Lonchura striata: one gene and its partner. The protein of the gene in region 1 purifies or fractionates together with the protein of each later gene. This does not show direct contact. Links are inferred from orthologs where the notes say so. Each region holds a gene or a part of one and is shown on either strand. Other genes may lie near its edges.

Region 1 (7,636 bases):
CGACAGGGACTGACAGATTGTTTTGTATCCAATTCAGGGAAAGAATCGGGTCATTCTCTGGAGAAAAGCCCCTTTTCCTAACGCCCACCCTGACACAGCTCCCTGCTGTCCCCCTGGGTCCCATCAGCAGTCACCACGGAGAAATCCTCCTGCTCCCACTCCCTGTGCCAGAGGCTTCAAATCTTTCTGCACCTCAAACTCTGGCCAGCGAGGAGAAGCTCTGGAGGGAAAACAGTGAGGCATTCCCACATTTTAAGGTGTGGGGGGAAAACCACCCTCAGAGAGCTCCAGCTGGGCTGCCTGCCTTGCTGTGGATCCCACCTCTGGAGTGTCCAAGCTGGGTTGGACAGAGCTTGGAGCAGCCTGGGACAGTGGAAGGTGTCCCTGCCCATGGCAGGGGGTGGCACTGGGTGAGCTTAAGGTCCCTTCCAACCCCTCAACACTCCATGATTCCACCTGTGCCACGGCACACTGGTGTTTGTCACCATTCCTCCTCCCTCGAGGAGGTGTCTCATTAGTTCTTAACCAAACGAGGAGCAGCAGCAGGGCTCTGGTTGTCACCCCAGGGGCACAGGAGGTCCCAGGGCACCAAAGCCTCGGTGTGCACGCACAGAGCAGCCCCACGGATCATCAGCAAGAGGCAGAAGGGAAATCTGTCCCCAGGCTCCTGCCCCTCGAGCAACAACCTCCCAGGACACACGGCCAAACTGTGCATCAGGAGGGGCCAGGACCAAGCTCAGCGGTGCAGGCACCGACACACGGGTGACACACGCGAGGTTTTGGGCACCTCAGGGATGAGAGCAGCTCTCCCTGCTTCTGCCTCCAAAATACAAGTGCCTTCCCCACCAGACTGCACTGGAGGCTTGCTTCACACCCCCTTGAGAAAGGAGCTGTGTTTCAGGTAGAAGATGTTGCAATCTGAAATAAAAGCAGCGCTCTGGCTCCCCAGAGATAACCCTGGGCCAGGCTGGTGCCATCACCCAGCAACAGCTTTGCCAGCCGAGCCTTTCAGCCTGGGAATGGGAATTTCTGCTGTCTGCACCTCCCTGCCCCGTCAGCAACCAGGACACTGCTGGCAGCTCCATGGGGCACTTGTGGGGGCATCCCAGAGTGGGTCCCAACTCCAGACTGTGCCAGGGCAGCCGTGGCTCTCACTGACTGCTGAAGTACCCAGAACACAACCCCACAGCTCTGCCCAGCACCGGCCCAGACACTCCCTGGGGTGCAAACAGAAATAATGACCCGGAGCACTCAGGTCTCCTCAAAGAGGCTGAGACAGAAGAGACAAGGCTGTTTTCACCCAACCCTACTTTCATCCAAATCTGTTCCAAATGACCCATCAGATGGAAATAAAAAAGGAAAAGCTCGCTGCGCGCACCAGCTCTATTTCACAATCCACCTCCTTCACGTAAACAAAAGCCAGGCTGGGGAGAGAAATTAATCTGGGGAGCATTTGAGGAATTTAAAGATGAGCTCAGCTCCTGCCTGGCTGCACCTGCCCAGTCCAACCAGTGGAACCACAGCAGCCCCAGCAGCAGCAGTGCAGTGCAGCCGCTCCAGCCTCTGCTCCAGAACCTCCCTGAGGCCTCGTCCCGCTCCCAGCTCCCAGCCGTCCCCGTGGGAGCGCTGGAAAAGCGAGGAGCAAAGGTAAAACCCCACAGCAAGGCAGAGAGATCGGCCAGCAGCAGGATCCCTCAGCTGGGATCCTGTCTGAGGCGAGGGAGGAGCGCGGTGGCTTTAAATGTGATTTTAATCCTGGCAGGGATCCTGGCAGGACAGCCTGTAATGCAGCATGGAAACGTGATTCCAGCGCAGGCTGCTCCCTCCTTGACGCCGCGGCTTCGGGAGAACTTCAGCGCCGCAGGGAGAGCGCACACACAGACAGACAGACAGACAGACACAGACAGACAGACAGACAGACACACATACACACAGAGACAGACAGAGACAGACACACACAGAGACAGGCACACACACAGACACACACGGACAGACACAGACAGACACACACAGAGACAGGCACACACACAGACACACACGGACAGACACAGACACACACACACAGAGACAGGCACACACAGACATGCACAGACAGAAAGACACACACAGACACACACAGACAGACAGACAGACAGACATGCACACACAGACACAGGCAGACAGACACACAGACACACAGACAGACACACACACACAGAGACACACACACACAGACACACAGACACACACACACACATACACACAGAGACAGACAGACAGACAGAGACAGACACACACAGAGACAGGCACACACACAGACACACACGGACAGACACGCACAAACACACACACACATGCAGACATAGACAGACACAGACAGACACACACACAGAGATAGACACACACACAGACACACACAGACAGATACACACACACGCACACACACGCAGACACAGACAGACAGACACAGACACACACACACACACACACAGACACACAGGCACACACACACACACGCAGACACACACACACACACACACACAGGCACACACACACACAAGTAAACCCTTCCCTTCCATCCCCGGGATTTACAGCTGGTCCACAGCCAGGAGCCGAGCTCAGCACGGCAGTTTTGGGGGCAGCTCTGCACGGCAGTTTTAGGGTAAGCTCAGCACGGTGCTTTTAGGGGCAGCGCTCTCGGGGTCAGGGGCAGCGCTCTCGGGGTTCAGGGGCAGCTCAGGTCGGCAGTTTTGGGGGCAGCGCTCTCGGGGTTCAGGGGCAGCCCAGGTCGGCAGTTTTGGGGGGCAGCCCAGCACAGGGTTCAGGGGCAGCGCTCTCGGGGTTCAGGGGCAGCCCAGGTCGGCAGTTTTGGGGGGCAGCCCAGCACAGGGGTCAGGGGCAGCGCTCTCACCTCCTGGAGCGCGACCTGCGGGCCGCGTCCCGGCGGGGCGGGTACCGCAGCCGGGCCTCGTCCTCCCGGCTCCGCGAGCGCCGCCGCTTCCAGCGGTGCCCCGGCTCGCCGTCCTGCTCGGGGCACCGCAGCCTCCTGCAGTGATGCATCTGCGGGAACGGCGCGGCGCTCAGCCCCGGCCCGGCCCGGCCCGGCCCGGCCCGGCCCGGCCCGGCCGTTACCGGCCCCGCGCCCGCCGCCCCCGGCCTCACCGCCGCCACCGCGGCCGCGGCCCGGCCCGCGGCCCCGAGCGCCGCTTCCGCTTCCCGGCCGGGTCAGACCCGCCCCGCCGCGCCGGGCCGGGCCGTGCCGGGGCGGGCCGGGGCGGGCCGGGCCGGGCCGGGCCGGGCCGTGCCGGGCCTGCATCGCCGCCGCCCTCAGCCCCGGCACGGCTTCCTCCGCGGGACCGCTCACCGCGGCCAGCCCGCCCCGGCGCGGCTCGCTCAGCACGGCTTCCTCAGCATGGTCATCCTCACCATGGTCATCCTCAGCATGGTCATCCTCACCATGGTCATCCTCAGCACGGCCAGCCTCACCTCAGCACGGCTTCCTCACCATGGTCATCCTCAGCATGGCTTCCTCACCATGGTCATCCTCAGCATGGTCATCCTCACCATGGTCATCCTCAGCATGGTCATCCTCAGCATGGTCATCCTCACCATGGTCATCCTCAGCACGGCCAGCCTCACCTCAGCACGGCTTCCTCACCATGGTCATCCTCAGCATGGCTTCCTCACCATGGTCATCCTCAGCATGGTCATCCTCACCATGGTCATCCTCAGCATGGTCATCCTCAGCATGGTCATCCTCACCATGGTCATCCTCAGCACGGCCAGCCTCACCTCAGCACGGCTTCCTCACCATGGTCATCCTCAGCATGGCTTCCTCACCATGGTCATCCTCAGCATGGTCATCCTCACCATGGTCATCCTCAGCATGGTCATCCTCACCTCAGCCATCCTCACCTCAGCACGGCTTCCTCACCATGGTCATCCTCAGCATGGTCATCCTCACCATGGTCATCCTCAGCACGGCTTCCTCACCATGGTCATCCTCACCATGGCCATCCTCACCTCAGCCATCCTCACCTCAGCATGGCTTCCTCACCATGGTCATCCTCATCATGGTCATCCTCACCTCAGCACGGCCAGCCTCACCATGGTCATCCTCAGCATGGCCATCCTCACCATGGTCATCCTCACCATGGCCATCCTCACCTCAGCACGGCTTCCTCACCATGGCCAGCCCCACCTCAGCACGGCTTCCTCAGCATGGACATCTTCACCATGGTCATCCTCACCATGGTCATCCTCAGCATGGCCAGCCCCACCTCAGCATGGCTTCCTCACCATGGCCATCTTCACCTCAGCACAGCTTCCTCAGCATGGCCATCCTCACCATGGTCATCCTCACCTCAACACAGCTTCCTCACCATGGCCAGCCTCACCATGGTCATCCACAGCATGGCCAGCGCCACCTCAGCACGGCTTCCTTAGCATGGCCATCCTCACCATGGTCATCCTCACCATGATCATCCTCACCATGGCCAGCCTCACCTCAGCATGGCTTCCTCACCATGGTCATCCTCACCATGGCCGTCCTCACCATGGTCATCCTTACCACGGCCATCCTCACTATGGCCATTGCCTCAGCATGGCTTCCTGACCACGGCCAGCCTCACCATGGTCATCTTCACCTTGATCATCCTCACCATGGTCATCCATCATCACCACCATCCTCACCTTCAGCACAGCTTCCTTCCCGTGGGACTGCTCACCAAGGCCAGCCTCAGCATGGCCATCCATCACCACCACTATCCTCACCCTCAGCACGGCTTTCTCACCATGGCCATCCTCACCATGGTCATCCTCACCATGGTCATCCTCACCATGGTCATCCTCACCATGGCCATCCTCACCATGGCCAGCCTCACCCTCAGCACAGCTTCCTCACCATGGTCATCCTCACCATGGTCATCCTCACCATGTTCATCCTCGCCATGGCCATCCTCACCCTCAGCACCATGCCTTCCTCCCCGTGCTCTGACTCACTGTGGTGGTCAGGGCCATCCTCACCACAGCCTTCCTCTCCATGGCCATCCTCACCTTCCACACAGCCTTCCTCGCCAGGGTCTTCCTCCTCACAGTCTGCCTCACCATGACCTTCGTCTCCAGAGTCTGCCTTCACCATGGCCAGCCTCTCCCTCAGCATGGTCTTCCCTTCTTCATCTGCCTCACCGTGGTCTTCCTCATCACATCTTCCTCACCACAGGGCCTTCCTCGCCGTGGTCATCCTCACCGTGATGACCCCCACAGTGACAGCCTTGGCCACGGCCTTCCTCCCTGTGGTGACCCTCCCGTGGTCTTCTCTGTGGTGGCCCATGGACAGGAGAGAGAGCTCCACACACATGGTCATTCCCAACCCCTTCATTAATTTATCAAGCACTCATTAGGGCCAGCAATCAATTAAAAATGCCGATTGACTCCTTTATCACCAGGTGGGCTGGAAGGGGCAGGAGATGCCACCACCGTGGTGGCCACCTGGTCACCTCCTGAGCTGGTCACCTCCTGAGCTGGTCACTTCCTCAGCCATGGTCACCTCCTGAGCCTGGTCACCTCCTGAGCCTGGTCACCTCCTGAGCTGGTCACTTCCTCAGCCATGGTCACCTCCTGAGCCTGGTCACCTCCTGAGCCTGGTCACCTCACCTGCCAGCGAGGGAGGCTGGCAGCTCCCACGTGGGGCCTGGGGGGCTGCAGGACCCCTTGGAGCCCTGTGGAGCTGTGGGGAGAGCACAGAGCTCCTGAGGTTTCATCTGGCCCTCCCTTCTGGAGAGCAGGGACCTCCAAAGTCCTCAGCTCACATCCCAGAGAGCAAGGAGAGCCAGAGGTGACAACCGCCAGCAGGACAGAAAGCCACATGCTAATTTTGGACCATAAATAAATATATTTCAAGCTCTTTGGGGCCATCTTGGAGATCCCTAGATCTCTGTTATGCTCCCAGTGCTCGTTTCCATCCAGTGGTAGAATCACGGAGTGGTTTGGGTTGGAAGGAGCCCCAAAGATCATCTCATTCCAACCCTCCCCCGTGCTTGGAAGAGAGAGGTTTGAGAGGGAATAAGAGAATCTGCCAAGCAAAAGGAGGGGAAGCCGTTCCCGGTGCCCACCCGGGCACGTTCCGGTCCCCGTGCCCTACCGGGGGTGCCCGGCACGCGGGAGAGGCAGCCCAGGGCCTCTGCCCTGTGCAGCAGCACCTGGATGTGCCCGGCCGGAGCCTGGCGCTGCAGCAGGAGCTGGGCCAGGGGCCTGGGGGCCAGGAGAACACGCTGCAGCCCAGGCTGGGAGCACTGCAGTGCTGGGAGGCGAGGAGAGGGCAGGGGACACTGTGAGACCTCCTCCAGCCTCATCGTGGCCTTCCAGCTCCGAAATCATCGTGTCCTTCCAGCTCTGACCTCATCGTGTCCTTCCAGCTCCGAAATCATCGTGTCCTTCCAGCTCCGAAATCGTGTCCTTCCAGCTCCGACCTCATTGTGTCCTTCCAGCTCCGACCTCATCCAACCCTTCCAGCTCCAACCTCATTGTGTCCTTCCAGCTCCAACCTCATTGTGTCCTTCCAGCTCCAACCTCATCCAGTCCTTCCAGCTCCGACCTCATTGTGTCCTTCCAGCTCCAATCTCATTGTGTCCTTCCAGCTCCGAAATCATCGTGTCCTTGCAGCTCCGAAATCGTGTCCTTCCAGCTCCAACCTCATTGTGTCCTTCCAGCTCCAATCTCATTGTGTCCTTCCAGCTCCAAACTCGTGTCCTTCCAGCTCTGACCTCATTGTGTCCTTCCAGCTCCGACCTCATTGTGTCCTTCCAGCTCCGAAATCATTGTGTCCTTCCAGCTCCAAACTCGTGTCCTTCCAGCTCCGAAATCATTGTGACCTTCCAGCTCCAACCTCATAGTGCCCTTCCAGCTCCGAAATCATCGTGTCCTTCCAGCTCCGACCTCATTGTGTCCTTCCAGCTCCGACCTCATTGTGTCCTTCCAGCTCCAATCTCATTGTGTCCTTCCAGCTCCAACCTCATTGTGTCCTTCCAGCTCCGACCTCATCCAGCCCTTCCAGCTCCGACCTCATCCAGCCCTTCCAGCTCCAACCTCATCCAGCCCTTCCAGCTCCAACCTCATTGTGTCCTTCCAGCTCCAACCTCATCCAGCCCTTCCAGCTCCAACCTCATTGTGTCCTTCCAGCTCCGAAATCATCGTGTCCTTCCAGCTCCAGCCTCATCGTGTCCTTCCAGCTCCGAAATCGTGTCCTTCCAGCTCCAATCTCATTGTGTCCTTCCAGCTCCGACCTCATTGTGTCCTTCCAGCTCCAATCTCATTGTGTCCTTCCAGCTCCGAAATCATCGTGTCCTTCCAGCTCCGAAATCATCGTGTCCTTCCAGCTCCGAAATCGTGTCCTTCCAGCTCCAACCTCATCGTGTCCTTCCAGCTCCAACCTCACCCAGCCCTTCCAGCTCCGACCTCATCCAGCCCTTCCAGCTCCAACCTCATCCAGCCCTTCCAGCTCCATCCCTTCCAGCCCAGCCATGTTCCTCTCCCAGCAGGGTCCGGGCCGGGCAGGAAGGAGGCAGCCCGGTGGGTTTGGTGCCCAGCAGCGCTGCAGGGGTGCTGCCAGCTCTGTTTGCCCCTTCCACCCGCTGAGGATGAGGTGCCAAGTCCCGGC
Region 2 (7,320 bases), on another chromosome or scaffold:
GTGTCTCCTGAAAACACAACATGCAAAACATCAGGAGGCTGATTATGCTTTTCAGTGAGTGAAACATGATTAAATATCCTGAAACACACACCTGCTGCCCTTACAATAACTTCAGCTCTCTAAAGAACACTGCATAGTAAGCACTGACTGAGACACAAACTCACTGCATAACTGCTAAGACTAATAAGCATCATCTATTACTCCTTCTTTACTCTTTTTTTCATAATTATGTCTTTCCTGCTAGTTGTCTGCCTCAGGCTGCTTTTTTTTTTTTTAAGTAGTGTTCTAATGGATTTACTTTGCTGAAGTAAATACTTTTTAAAAATAAACACCCTCACCTACACTCTCATCCTTTTATTTTTGTTCCTCCACATCTGTTCTGAAGAGAGATAAAGTGATGGCAAAGCACTAAAATCCATGTTCTTTTTGCCCAAGCTATGAAAATTTGAGAAAGCTTGCCTGTTTTCAGTTGTTGAATGCATGTAGTTAGAAATGATTAACCAGAAATTACCAGCTGTTCTGGTTTTGGCTGGGACAGAGTTAAACTTCTTAGCAGCTCGTACAGCTCTGTGGTTTGGGCTTGGTGTGACAACATTGATAACAGCCTTGCAGTTTTAGCCTAAGTCAAGGACTCCCCAGTGTCTCAGCCTGCCCAGCAAGGAGCTACACGAGAAGTGTGAGAGAGCATGGCCAGGACAGCTGTCCTGAACTGGCCAAAGGGACATTGCACAGAACCATGGCCACAGAAAAATGTTTGTATCACTGTGCCCAGCATATAAACTGGGGGGATCTGGCTAGGAAGTCAACAGCTGAGTGAGAGAGGGAATTCCCCATGGCTAAAACAGAGCTGGGCTTAGAAAATGAGCATCACGTCCCCTGGAGAGCACAGTCCCTTCCCACACAGTGCAGCCACCCTCTGCTTCAAGATTTCAGTACCAGGTGCAGGGTGGAGATGCTCCAAGTAGACAGCCTAACAAGGAAACTTGTGGTTTTGACACCTGAAAGCCCAGGATGAAACAAACTGCTTCTCTGAGTCCTAGGTGTCTCCCTCCAGAATTATTTTGCCAGATCCATGCTACACCATGAAGCCCTAATGCCTGTTTTTGTTTCAAGCCTGTACATCAAAACAGTACACAGAAATACAACACAAGCACAACACACAGAGCTGTTCCTTTAAAGACATGCCAACATAACTTTTTTCTGCTTTATTTTCTCCCTGGTATAACTGCAGCAAGTTAAGGACTGCCCACAGTTCTGCCAAGTACTGTTCATTTGGGATCTCACCCTGCATTTCAGCACAGAAGAGATCCCAGAGCAGTTACTCTTCCAAGGAGGAAGGGATGCAGTAACCCAAGTGAGGGAAGAAACCTGTTTATCATCCTTCCTTCACACCACAAGGAATCAGTCCTGCAGGAAGTCCTGCAATCCTTACAAAAACTGATACTTTTGGGGGTACTGCTTGTAACAAAAATGAAAAAACTGAGGTCTCAGGAGAAATCCAGGTTAGAGCACTGGGCAAATATTTGTTACAGCAGGGTGCATTCTTAAGGTTAGTATTACTAAAAGAAGTTAAGACAAAAGAATTCTCTTAAGAGCTGGGGACAGGAAGGACAGATCCAAGGCTGGTCACTTTCTCTTTTTTTAAACTTTTCTTTATTTTTCAATATCCAACAAAAAAATCCACCCTAAGAGCCGAAGTCCACTTTCCAGAAAGCATGGAACACTTGCTCTTTGAGTGTCATTTCTGAAGGTGGTTCAAGATGGAAATCTACAGAGAAGATAAAAATTGAACCTCACAGCTGAATACAAGTCCTGATCACAAGGCCAGCTTTCCTATCCAAGTGCTGCATAAACAACATAAATTGTTTCTTCACTTGTGTAATCTCAACCTATATATTTAGAGAGGAAACAAAAGGTTCCAATATAATGGTGACAGAAAGTAATAAAAGCAAACTGAGAGAAAGGGATTCTTCAAGAACACAGCATCCTCTGGGGACTACAGCCTTCAGCAGCAAACCATCGTCAGTTCACTCAGACAATAGATTTTAAGATACACAAAGTAGATTAGGGTTTAATTATGGACTGAGAGGCAGCGGTGGTGCTTTGAACACCAGTGTCTGACACTGACAACCCCATCTTGGGGAAAAGAGATGAGGGGGGGGAAAAACCCATCTAGCAGCATCAGATTAAAGTTCACTTGCACTTAAAAAGTTTGGTAACCTCGCTGTATTGTTTGCCCTCTCCCATCTGAAGCTAACACACACAAAGCAGGCCCAACAAAAAACATGCACTTGGCAACTTTTCCCTATTTATCTGTGTTTTCATCTGGTGACTGTATTCTAGGGCTATGCTGTCACCGCAAAGGCAAAAGTTTGTCACAGCTGTAAACCACATGTTTTTATAACACCAGACGGTAACTTCCCCAGGATCAAAAAAAAAACCTCCCAAACGTCACAACTCTTGCTACCACTCAGGCTGAAACAGATGCAGAGCAGCGACGGTGCCCCGGGTACTCGAGTGCAGCTTCCAATCGATTCAGCGCTGTTTAAGTAACAAAGGCAACTTACCTGCCCGTCTCATCAACCCACCGCTGATGACGGCCGGGCAGCGCTCCCGCACCGCGTCAAGCGCGGCGCCGCGCCTGGAGCCGCCCGGAGCCGGAGGGGATCAATCGGCCCCGCCGGCCTGAGCCGGCCCCGGGCCCGCTCCCTGCGCTCCGCCGGACCTCGGTGCCGGGAGCCTGCCGCGCGTGCCGGGCTCGAGCTGCTCCGAGCCCTCACCGCGACCTCCTCTCCCCTCCGCACCTTCCCTCCAGCCCCTCGTCCCGGGAGCGGCCGCCGCGCTCGCGGGGCCCAGGCCCGAGCCTCTTCACCCCTGCACCCCAAGGGCCGGCGGCCCGGCTTCGGCCGCTATCCCGCGCCCGGGCGCTCCCTCCGGCCCCACCGCCGCGGGCCCGCCCCCGGCACGTACCGCGGCCCCTCACAGCGAGCGGCACCGGCGGGCCCGCAGCGCCGCCATTGACCCCGCTCCCCTCCGCCGGCCGCGCCGCCCCGCCCCTTCCGCCCGCCGCGGCCAACCGCGCGAGCGCTTCCTCCGCCGGCCCCGCCCCCGCGGCAGCCAATCCCCGCCGCTCCCACGGCGGGCAGGGCGGCGCGCGGAGAGGGCGGGGGTTGGCTGCGGGGATGACGTCACGGCGGCCCCGCGCCGCGATTGGGCGAAGCTGCGAGGCGGGGGCGGGGCCGAGGGCGGGGCGGGTCGCCCGGGAGACGGCGGGGGGCGGGCCCGGGGCGGGGCGGGCCCGGGGCGGGGCGGGCCCGGGGCGGGGCGGGCCCGGGGCGGGGCGGGCCCGGGGCGGGGCGGGGCCGTGAGGCGCCTCCATCTTTCGGCACAAAGGAGCGGCGGCAGCGCCGGGCCGGGGCGGAGGGCGCGGGGTCCGCGGCGGCCCCGCTGCGCTCCCGGCGGGGCTGCGCGGAGCTGAGGTGAGGCAGGGCGGGAGCGGCCCGGCTGGGGGCTGCCGAGGGGCGCGCATCGGGGTGAGGGGAAGGGACGGTGCCGGGCTGGGCGCCGGTGGCCCCGCCGGTGGCCCCATTGCCGGCCGTGCGCTAATGAGTGAAGGCACCGTGCTCAGCCTCCCCGCCCTCCGCTCCCCCAGGGGCCCCCGGCGTGGCTCCCGGTTGGGGTGGGAGCCGGGCCGGCGCAGCCCCCCGGCCCCAGGCTGCGGCCCGGGGTCCGTCGGCTCCGGTGGTTGGTGCAGGTCCCCCCAGGGATCGCCGGTGTCCCCCGCCCGCCTCGCCGGGGCCATCTGGGGGGCAAGCCGCGGTAAGAAGCGGGTGGCCAGGGCGCAGCCCCCGGGCTGGCTGCGCTCTCGCGGAGGCCCCGGAGCTGGGCAGGGCTGGCGTGGGGAGCCGGGCGCTCGCTGAAGGAAGCGCTAAGAGGTGAATGAACGGGGGTTCGGCGAGCTGGGGCGCCCCGAGCCCGGCGCTGCTCGGGGCCCGCAGGGGTTGGAGCTTCCTAACGGCGCCTGCCGGGTGCGCGGAGAGCTCCCGGTGCTCGTATGACTTGCAAAACACGGGCTCGGCTACAGCGGGTTTGGTGTGCGGGGGGCAAAATGACTCGGAACCGCGGAGTCACGGACCCGACGTGCTGCTCGGGCAGCTCGGAAACGCGGCGGGGCCGCTGAGCCCTTGAACATCGCTCTATGAATGTGAGCAGTCAGAATCCTGAAAGCTGTTTATGGCTCTCGGTGTCAAAATGTTTCTCCACAGCAAGTTTTCTGGCTTTACAGAGGAAATGTGAAGGTGTGGAGCGGGGCAAATGCACTCATTCACCTGGATCTTTTGTTTTAAGTTCTTGGGTGATGGAATAGGCAGCGGCACCTTTGCTACGGGTGCGGCAGCACCTCGGCTCTGCTCTCCCAATTCAGGGCTTATAAAGCAGGATTTTTTCACTGCTTGTATTATGCCCATATCGAGCATGAGTTTCTCTTTTAAGCCCTTTGATTCTGATCGCTGTTTCTATCTCGAAGGCCTTCATTAACCCCTTCTTTTTAGGCGCTGCTGGTTTTTTCTGCTGTGTAGCAGTATGCGTGTGCACTGTCTGTTCTAGGTTCAGTCGTAGTGTAGGTCCCAGGAATGACTGTAGTCACCTGAGTTTCATTTTCTGTTTCGTTATTGCAAACTCTGATCCCTGAGCCCAGAGTTCATTTTGGTGCTCAGCCAGTGTTATCAGTTTTTCTCACACTGTGAAACTTTGGTCCATGGAGAAACACAAACATACGAGCTGCCTTTTCTCTCCTAAATTAATTCAGCCTGCTGTTTTCTGAATGCTGGTGGTTTTGGTAGTTTTTTTGTTTTTTTTTCATTTTATGTCTGTATCAGTGTTTGTGTTCTTCAGTGTAAGAGGTTTTTTTCTACTTGGCACTAGCTTTGCCTCAGGGTTTTAGTTTTTCTGTTCTTTGTCTTGCATTGAATGCGTGTATTTGTTTTGGTGTTTTCCTTTCTCATGCTGGTCCTCAGTTCTGCTTTTCTACTAGTTTTCTGTACATCCATCACTGCTATGAAATTGTTGTGTGGAAACCTACATCCACTTGTTTACTGTGACTTCCCTTGTTTTCTTCCTGGTATTAAAATTTTTGCTGTTTTCTTGTTAAATTATACAGATTTTAAAGCAGTGCATGTTTTCATCACCTTTGAGCCACCTGAAATATTCCCTTGCATTTCATCTCCTCTTGGACTCCTGCACTTGACTGTGGATTTCCAGAGGACTGTGCATTCTCAAAACTTGTCATATTATTTTAAGAGTCTGTGGTGCGGTTAAATGTGGTTTTGTTTTGCATTTATCCAAATGCACAGAATTGATCTGTTCTTTGATCTAAATCTGGCCCATTCTTCTCTAAGCGCTTTTCCCTGTGTCTTTGTTCTCCACCGAAGTCCACTCAGCAAAATGGGCCCTTTCTCCTCCTGGCACCCATTCCTCTGTGCCTCCCTTTAGGACATTGCTGTTATTGCTTTGTGCCCCAATCTCTGCTGTTTGCTCCTATTTATAGGTCTGCTTGAACAGATTGTGAATTTCCTGTGGTGTGTTCTTTTTCAGATGAGTGAAGCACAATTGTAGTTGCATGATCACTTCTTGTCTCTTCCCTTTTCATCCAGACATTCTCTTGAGGTTCCTGCTAAATGAAAGTTTTCCGTTTCCCCTGTCCATCACTTGAGTAGGAAACTCCTCCAGGGTATTTTAGTGCTGTGCTTTGCATTCTGCACAACTCTTGTTTTAACTGTTGCTGATGCTGATTGTTTATTAGCTCAGCCTTGGTTGTTTACCCACTCTTAGGTTGCTGATAGAGCTAATCCAGCTTGTCCACACACCTCCCTTATCTTCAGCTGTGATACCAGTGTGTGTTTGCAGGAAGGTGGGCTTGTTGGTTTCCCTGAGGTCTTTAACTTTCCTTTTTATTTGCCTTCAGCCTCCTATACAGGGAGTTTCACTGCAATGCTTTGTGGTAGCCACTGTGGTATCTACTCTGTGGCCTCATAATTTGGTGATCACTCAGTAGGCTCTCTTGTTCTCTTACTGATACATTATTCTGTGCTTTTCTTAATGTTCTTTTTTTACCCTTAGAGGGACATGATGGTTTTCTGCACAACCCTGCAGTGCTCTCCCTTGGTGCATTATCAGTGTTTTCACATAGGAGGTCTTAGCTTGAAGTGCATTTCATTTGCTGTAAGTCTAATGGATAGGACTGAAATAGAATAGAATGTTTTGGTTCCCTCCTGTAAAGTAAGACATCCCTCATATTCTGCCCATCAGGTGGAATCAGTCAATTCTCCTCAAGCTTTTTGCTTGCTTGTTAAAATTAAGGAACAACAGGAAGATATTTATTAGTGTAAGCAATAATACGGCAGTGATTTGTCATAGAACACTTACTGGCCTGTGACTCTTCAGGTTTCTTCATTCAAATTCCCTTTCTTATTATCTCTCTTACTTGGCAATGTGCTGTGTTTGGAAATGTCCTCTGTTGGTCATGTAGCTATGGGCTGATATCCTCACAAAGTATAGTAAGGCTCATCATGTGCACTGTGTATTTCCCTGTCAACACAGAGGCAGCAACTTAAAATGCTGTCAGCTTGTAGGAAATTGAAGGCCGGCTAGTGTCATGATATTTGTCCTGTTCTGCTCCATTATCAATATGTTATGTTCAGAATTTCAAACTGGTTCTGTGGGTTTTTTTGCTCTATTGAACTTATGATTGCTCAGTAGAGTTTGAATTTATTCATTGCTTTAGAGCAGTGCAGGCAGTGATCTTACACTGAGATTCCTTGTCTTTAGGTATCTCGTGTGCTTTTTATCGCCTTGTGTCCTGACAATATATTTGATTTTCCTGGTCTGTCTGTGGTAACTGTAAAGCTGGCATTGCAGGGCAGTGACTGTGCCAGCAGGATCTTTATTTCCTTTTCTATTCTTCATTATGTTGCTGAGGTCTAATAAAAGTCAAATGTTCACACATGACTCAGGAGGTTGCGTGACTGACCAATGCATCATGTTCTCTCTTCAGAAGTGCTTGTAATTACCTGCCCTTGATCTGCCATTACTGTGACCAGGTTTGTGCTCTGGCAGCACAGCTCTGCCATGGGAACTTGGTGTGTTTGGTGGGCTTTGCCCATGCAGCAGGGATACCTGGCAGTCCGAAGTCTGGGATGAGGTGCTGCTCCTTGGTTTTTAATGCATGTTTATTAGATGGAGTTCAGTGAATAACCATGATCAGGAACAAGAAATCTATCTTTTTTCCTAATAAATCTCTCCCCCTCAGGGAAGTAGTGGTTT

Evidence for each region. Proteins that work in one complex are often made in the same cells at the same time.
Region 2: the proteins of CLK3 (region 1) and PSME3IP1 purify together in Homo sapiens (affinity purification with mass spectrometry; 3 studies listed by BioGRID and IntAct, counting the BioPlex papers as one, with this or other methods). This does not show direct contact. The link is inferred for Lonchura striata from reciprocal best matches to the Homo sapiens genes CLK3 and PSME3IP1.

The regions. Positions count from the first base shown.
Region 1 is NC_134613.1:6,013,114-6,020,749, forward strand, and holds the start of CLK3 (dual specificity protein kinase CLK3), read right to left. Parts: upstream 3,060-7,636; 5' UTR 3,040-3,059; coding exon 2,891-3,039; intron 1-2,890. UniProt on the Homo sapiens protein: Dual specificity kinase acting on both serine/threonine and tyrosine-containing substrates. Phosphorylates serine- and arginine-rich (SR) proteins of the spliceosomal complex.
Region 2 is NC_134615.1:17,136,620-17,143,939, reverse strand, and holds the start of PSME3IP1 (PSME3-interacting protein), read right to left. Parts: upstream 3,067-7,320; 5' UTR 2,971-3,066; intron 8-2,970; 5' UTR 1-7. UniProt on the Homo sapiens protein: Promotes the association of the proteasome activator complex subunit PSME3 with the 20S proteasome and regulates its activity.